Drosophila melanogaster: one gene and its partner. The protein of the gene in region 1 purifies or fractionates together with the protein of each later gene. This does not show direct contact. Each region holds a gene or a part of one and is shown on either strand. Other genes may lie near its edges. The genes, in order: Ilp4 and ImpL2.

The links.
Region 2: the proteins of Ilp4 (region 1) and ImpL2 purify together in Drosophila melanogaster (affinity purification with western blotting, with the first as the bait; one study listed by BioGRID). This does not show direct contact.

The regions. Positions count from the first base shown.
Region 1 is NT_037436.4:9,802,613-9,806,050, reverse strand, and holds Ilp4 (Insulin-like peptide 4), read left to right. Parts: upstream 1-1,787; 5' UTR 1,788-1,937; coding exon 1,938-2,103; intron 2,104-2,164; coding exon 2,165-2,403; 3' UTR 2,404-2,652; downstream 2,653-3,438. Other genes in the region: CG32052 (uncharacterized protein), read right to left, coding at 1-148, 666-1,363. UniProt on the Drosophila melanogaster protein: Possible ligand of InR/insulin-like receptor.
Region 2 is NT_037436.4:4,223,933-4,227,881, reverse strand, and holds ImpL2 (Ecdysone-inducible gene L2), read left to right. Parts: upstream 1-1,931; 5' UTR 1,932-1,989; coding exon 1,990-1,998; intron 1,999-2,175; coding exon 2,176-2,955; intron 2,956-3,030; coding exon 3,031-3,045; 3' UTR 3,046-3,172; downstream 3,173-3,949. Other genes in the region: CG46460 (uncharacterized protein), read left to right, coding at 1,106-1,201. UniProt on the Drosophila melanogaster protein: Essential developmental role during embryogenesis, in particular the normal development of the nervous system. May be involved in some aspect of cell adhesion.

The DNA of each region.
Region 1 (3,438 bases):
CGAAGAACTGACCCTGGATGACCGGCGCAAAGCGGCGGACCATGTCCAGGTAACGTTGGTTATTGCGCTCCGTGAAAGTCAACTGGTTGTGCTGGGTGCCCAGGTGACGTTCATCAACACCTGGTGGCATGTGGCCAACGATGTATACCTGGTTGGGACAATGAGTAAACGGATTCGGTTCATTTAATCCAAGCGGCGAATGATATGAAATCAATCCTTCTTGTTGCAAATTAAATATGATAATTAATCAAAAGGGCAGTTGGCTATCCGATTGGATTTACTGGCATGCGATATGCAAGGGTCAAGGTAAGACAAAAATATTGAATATTTACATATTCGTCGCGTTATCTCGTTAATTTTATGAAAAAAAAATTGGCTTTACGAGCAGCAAACATTAAACTGTGGCCTTAAATTTTGTGAAATTTAATTTAATTTACGTTAAAAAAGTGCAAAAATAAAGCGAGTTTAGTTTATCAATAATTTCATAACAACTTCGAAGTATAAAAATAATGAGTTCATTAATTTATCTGTAAATATGGGTTGTTGACACATTCTGATATTAGTAGATTGAAATGAGAATTAATTAATATTAACATAAAAAAAGCTGATTTTAAATTACATTACTATTTTTCCAACTATATACTGTTTAAAATAGTTACTCCTACCGTTTCCTGTTTCTCTTTGGACTTGGTGAGCACCTCCTCCAGCCAGAGCCACTGCTGCTCCGCCAGCAGCTCATCCTCTGCCGATATGGAGCTCACGGATGCCTTGGGCTCGGCAAAATATTCAGCTGGCCATCGTAAACTTAGCGATGCCCTTGGATCCGGATCGGGATCAAGTCGCATGAAATTCGTATTTAGAGCCACAATGCGCAGACGACTCTTGGTCTGTTCGATGGAATAGTAGCCGCCCTGATCGAAGGTCACCAGAGCCTCGGAGGGAAGCCAGTGCCGCCACAATTCGCCCAATCTGCGATAGCTGCCACTGCCGTCCTCGTGACCCAAGACCGGAAATATGAACTGCGAGGAGAAGCTGCGTCCGAGCAGTTCTGTAATATTTCGCAGGATTTCGTGCTGCTTCTGCTCGGAGAGCGGCTGAGCCGAATGGGATAGGGCATCTCCTGTCCACAGAACGAACTCCACATTATCGCCCTGCTTGGCCTTCATCGTCTTCACCGCCGATTCAATCAGTCTCCAAGGACTATCGCAGTTGTAGTGTCCAAAGGGACCAGGTGGCTCCGATGCCGCACTATTGGCATTGGAGCCGGAAACCGATCGTGCTAACTCCCAGCAGCTTCTGTATATGTCGCCCTGCGTGGAGTAGAGTGTGTCAAGGTGGAGGTCACTAATGTGCCAGAAGTAGCCTGTCAACAAACAAGTAGAATCAAGTAAATGTGTTAGTTAAATACCCATAGATATATGTAAAAGTTGTTGTTTTATTTGCTAAGAAAAGTTTAATCTATATCCCAGTTTTACACAACAAATTTTTATGTCCTGAGCAATTTCGTATGTATTTCCCCTTCGTAAAGTAAGGATCGAGATTAGACTTTGACTTTGGTTAAGTCGGGCAATTCCTGGCCGGGAAAGGCCATTTCCTTTCGCGGGGCATTTTCCCGCCGGCTGGTCGAGCGACAAAAATAAGAAAAACCTGGTAGTTCAAATGGAAATCTCCTGCAGCTGACTGTTTGGTTGGTTGACTGACCTGGCCCGAATTTAACTTTCTACCTGGTCGCAATACGTGAAGTCAAAAAGTCAATTAGCGAGTCAACATTTTGAGCGCCGGCCAACTCCAAGGATCAGTATCATTTGGCATGCCCAGCGATCGGTTTGCCAAGAGCACGAGAAGTTCGAGATAGGACCCAGAGATACCAGAGATAAAGGAGGCATACCTTTTATGCCCGGTGAGAGCACGGACGGCGGAGTGAAAGATCGAGCAGGATGAGCCTGATTAGACTGGGACTGGCGCTGCTGCTCCTGCTGGCCACCGTGTCGCAGTTACTGCAGCCGGTCCAGGGACGCCGAAAGATGTGCGGCGAGGCTCTGATCCAGGCACTGGATGTGATTTGTGTTAATGGATTTACACGCCGTGTCAGGCGGAGCAGTGGTAAGTTTGGGTACTATGCATATTCGATTGGCTTCCATACATCTAACTTCTTTTCGACAAGCGTCTAAGGATGCTAGAGTGCGAGACCTTATCCGTAAGCTACAGCAGCCGGATGAGGACATTGAACAGGAAACGGAAACGGGAAGGTTAAAGCAGAAGCATACGGATGCGGATACGGAGAAGGGTGTGCCACCGGCCGTCGGAAGTGGACGAAAGTTGCGACGCCATCGGCGACGCATCGCCCACGAGTGTTGCAAGGAGGGCTGCACCTACGACGATATACTGGACTACTGCGCCTGATGACCAGGATGGCAAAACAAAACAAATAAAAACCAGAAACCAGATCCCAAAAACCAAGTACCAGATGAACACGACATGGCTGAGATTTTGTGTGGCGGCACGGGGAAAACACCCGACGACCGGCAGGCTATTTGCAATTCATTTTCCTACTACACTTAACCCCTAACTATAAACGTAATCGTATTTCCAAATATTTCATTGTAAAATTTCTAGTGGAGGCAAATAAAGTTACTCTCCAAGCAGCAGCAGAAACAAAAGAAGAGTCCATTGCTTTTTTCTACATTCTACGCCCTGCAGCATTCCAGCTGTGAGGCATGGGGAATCCCCTTGTTATTCAAACCACCCGAAGCCACCCAAACCATCGAGCCACCCACAAGCAGCTGCCATTCAGCACCTCGAGTGCGGTGCCCTTGTTTTCCGAGAACAATAATGAAAAATATGAATTTTTAATTAGATGACGTTCTGATTTTAATAAGCAAAACAAAAGGTGGAGACAAAACGAACTCGGTAATACACTCAGATTCGAATTTACAGCTTCCTTTTTATCCATAATTTTTGTTATTATCGAAGGAGCGATATCAAAACTAGAAAACAACTTCCAATCAGTAGCGGGATTTTCCGAAGATAACACTCTATTCAACCGAAGGGTTTTGAAATGATAATAATTCCGTTCTTACAGGTAAAAATCTATACTAATACCTGTTTTTTTGCGGACGGAAAAAAGGCTCAGTTGGCTTATCATTGGCAAAAGGGACTTGGGGAAACCATAAAGTATCGAAGGTACTGAGCCAAGATAATGAGATAACAGAAGGCGACTTTATTGTTTTCCACTCAAAAGCAATTGAATAAGTTGGCACTCGTTTTTAATTGAATGGGAATGAAATAAGCTCTAAAAGTGTTGTTAAAACGTAATGGCTTTTGTGTTAATTTAAAGAATTTAAGTAGTTTTGAAAGTATCATTATTCTTTAGGTAATTTTTATTACATTCCAAATTTAATAAATGACTAATTCGAAAAAGTGTTTATTTAATCAATG
Region 2 (3,949 bases), 5.6 Mb from region 1:
TCGAATGAATTCGAAACCATGGAGTTTTAATTAATGGTTTTGACAACTACAGTGCTAATTCAGTAAGCTAAACGAATAATATACGGTTGATACTTTGCACTTCGTCGAAATGATTCATGAATATTAACAGAGTAGTGTGAAGCACCTTTATATGTAGGGTTAATTAATTTTACTTACATGTGATAGAAAGTCATAGGATCTCGAACACTGTTGTATGTTCTCAACAACTTGCATAAGATGACAATGTTAATTGTCAAGATCGAAATGAAATGGTATATGGGCTGGAAAGTCATTGAGCTATCCTTGTGAGACACCTCAGTTTCCAAACCACCAACTCTGGACTGCGGACGCAATTAGGCGGTGGAAAGACAGATCCCGAGGCGGATAATCGAACCCCCCGTCCGGTTATATCTGTTTTGTTCCGCACCTTCCCGGTGCGGCGGTCGCATAAAGAATTACGATCCGAGAACGAGCAGAGAGAGAGCGGCGAGTGAGTGAGAGTGTGTGTGTGTGTGTCTGTTGTCTGTGTGTGTGTGTGAGTGAGCCGGCGTCGCATATAAATGGAACAGCGCTGCGGCCACCAATTCAGTTCTGTTACAGTTTCCAGCTGTTGAACACGACTTTTGAGAGCCGCCGAAGCCAACTGATCCGAAGTTAACTAAGCCGATCCGCGATCCTCGCTTTTCAATTCGCCGTGAACCGCATTCGCAGCAGCAATCCCCCCCAAAAACCAAAAACCAACACACCTTGACTCGAGTGTAATGTCGATGAACCGTGCGTATTCAAACGAGTGCCGCGCCAACCAGACAACCATCAAGAAGTACCAGACCAAGTCCACGTCCACATCGAAGGAGCACTGATACCGCCACGAGGATCGAATGTGCCAAAGTAGTCAGCTAGATATTCGCTACGCCGCCTGAGATTAACACGCTTCCGCTACCCAATTACTCGATCCTTATCCCGATCCTGAAGCGCCACTCCCGAGCACAGCACCCAGACGTTTCAATACGATCCATCCTCGTCGCCCAAGACAGACCGGCAAGCAGCCAAGATTCCACCAACACTGAGCTGCACGACCTCCAAGACGGCATCCAGCGCCGGACCTATGTCAGTGCTAAGCCAGCTGCTGCTCAACTTCAACCAGAAAGCCCAGACCAGGAGCCATCACAACATAGAGCTGATAAATTCGTTCATAACATAACGATAAGCCGACCTGCTTCTGCTTTACCTGATCTATCATCGTCCAACGTTGGGGAGAAATTTGCAAACATTTTTTACCGGAAGAGAAAAAAGAAATCAAATCAAAGGGTGAGTAATGTGCGTTAACAATAGATAGGTGATTGCCGCCGAACGCAGTTTCGTGTTCCGTTTTTCGTTTGTTTTTTTTTTTTCAAAATTCGAATTCGTAGAAATGCCCAAAGATACAAAAATCACCGTCGAAGGGCAAAGACCGTCTGATGCAACATTCGCCAGCGATTGGCGAATGACTTTTTGTGGGGCTACTACTAATTCATACATACAAGCGTATGTACATACATAATACCCTCGAAACTATTTGAATAATTAATCGGTCACGCAGTTTGTCCAGTCTAGACTATGGGGACACATTGGCCCTTGATCTGCGGCTGAAGCGTGGGTGAGTGTGTGAATCCGAATCGGGCTGTAGAATTCGAATTTAAATTGACGTCACACTCCGCGAGTCATTCCGTTTTCCGTTTTCGATTTCTGCCTCTGATTCGGCCCACGCAAGAATCTTATATCATTTTCTTTTGTCAATTCTTGTTGTCTGGTGACGTGTCATTGTGAAATACATTCATCTACGTTTGGACCGAGCACATCTCTTAGGGGCCGGAAAAGGATTCCGAATCTAAATTCCGGACTCCGAGAGCCATTAGCACATTTCGCAAGTGTTAGTAATGTTCTAGAGCCCGCCGACTGAAGGCCTTGCGTTCTTATCGGGGAAATAGACTCGGAGACCTCCCCTGATTAATGGAGGCGGTGATGAGTGGGGGAAGTGGGGTGGTGGGGTGGTGGGGGGATGCATGACTGGCTGAAAAGTCGGGCTAATCGCATCACGTTGCTCTGGGGTTTAATAACCTATATTAGAGTCGTACGAGTGCCGCTGTTGAACTTTGAACTCACTTCCGATTTCCACTCTCTCTATCGATCTTGCAGAAAATGAATTTACATGTGTGCGCCTTAGCGCTGCTGCTGTTCGGCAGCATCGCCACTGTCCGCGGAAGAGCCGTGGACCTGGTAGACGATAGCAACGACGTGGATAACTCCATCGAGGCGGAGGAGGAGAAGCCACGCAACCGAGCCTTCGAAGCCGACTGGCTCAAGTTCACCAAGACGCCGCCGACGAAGCTGCAGCAGGCCGATGGAGCCACCATCGAGATCGTTTGCGAGATGATGGGCTCCCAAGTGCCCAGCATCCAGTGGGTGGTGGGTCACCTGCCCCGCTCGGAGCTCGATGATCTGGACTCCAACCAGGTTGCCGAAGAGGCGCCCAGTGCCATTGTGCGCGTCCGATCGTCGCATATCATCGACCACGTGCTGAGCGAGGCCCGCACCTACACGTGTGTGGGACGCACTGGCTCCAAGACCATCTATGCCAGCACTGTGGTGCATCCTCCTCGCTCCTCTCGTCTGACGCCGGAGAAGACCTACCCGGGTGCCCAGAAACCGCGAATCATCTACACCGAGAAGACGCATCTGGACCTCATGGGCTCCAACATTCAGCTGCCCTGCCGCGTGCACGCCCGTCCCCGCGCCGAGATCACCTGGTTGAATAACGAGAACAAGGAGATCGTCCAAGGACATCGCCACAGGGTGCTGGCCAACGGCGATCTTCTGATCTCCGAGATCAAGTGGGAGGATATGGGCAACTACAAGTGCATAGCCCGCAACGTCGTCGGAAAGGATACCGCCGATACCTTCGTGTATCCCGTACTTGTAAGTATTCCCCTACCCGCCGGGTTATACCAACTCATCCTAAGTAATCCCTACGTATTTTTCTTGTCCTTGCAGAATGAGGAAGACTAAAGATCCTACCACCAAATAAAAAACAAAAGGCTATTGGATTGACGACGGAAATTCATCTAGTTAGTTAGATAGATCAAATGCCTTCGAAGATGCGTGAAAAGAAATGAAATATGCTTAGAAAAAATACAAAAAAAAAAAAATCAAAAAAAAATATGATGGATCAAAAGGTCATACGATTTACAATTATGTACAATTTAGATTAAGCACAATCTAGCTCGTAGTCCAGGTAATTAACCGTATCTAATGCCGGCTTAGACACTAATTTTCCCACTTATTATCCTCGAATATCAGTCACATTTAGAGCATTCGAATTATAGCACCTACTTTATGGTTTTCTTCAATTATAGCTTTAGTTATCGGCTTGTAATCACGCTTCTTTGGTTCTTTGTAAGTAGCAATGATTGTTCCTAGCGATTCAGGCAGCACTAGTTAACGTATTTAAACTAATTGGCCGTTTACTTAAGGGCACTGCAGCCCAAGAAGCACTTATGACTCGTGGCACAAGCCACAGTCAATCAACCAATCAATCAGTCAATCACCCACCCAATTCGTATTTATGTGCACCCATCATTTCTACAACTAATTTATTGATCGACCAAATTCATTCAGCATCGCCACCCATACAGAATCACTGAATAGTATTCACGGAATTAATCAGTTTCATAAGCTACCCGACTATGTTTTAATTTATAAGGTAATAGAACTGAAATATGTTTTTCTAATTGTTTAGTGTTAGTTTTAATCCAACCTTCAAGCGATTGTTTTTGAATAAATACAAGAAAATTGAAACAAAAGTACTCAATGGGCTGAATGGGTGAATAAAACGAGCAGCTACGAGTACATACACTTTTCATCACTTTATTGACGGATCTACAAACTACGAATAGTCACATTATCTACATAA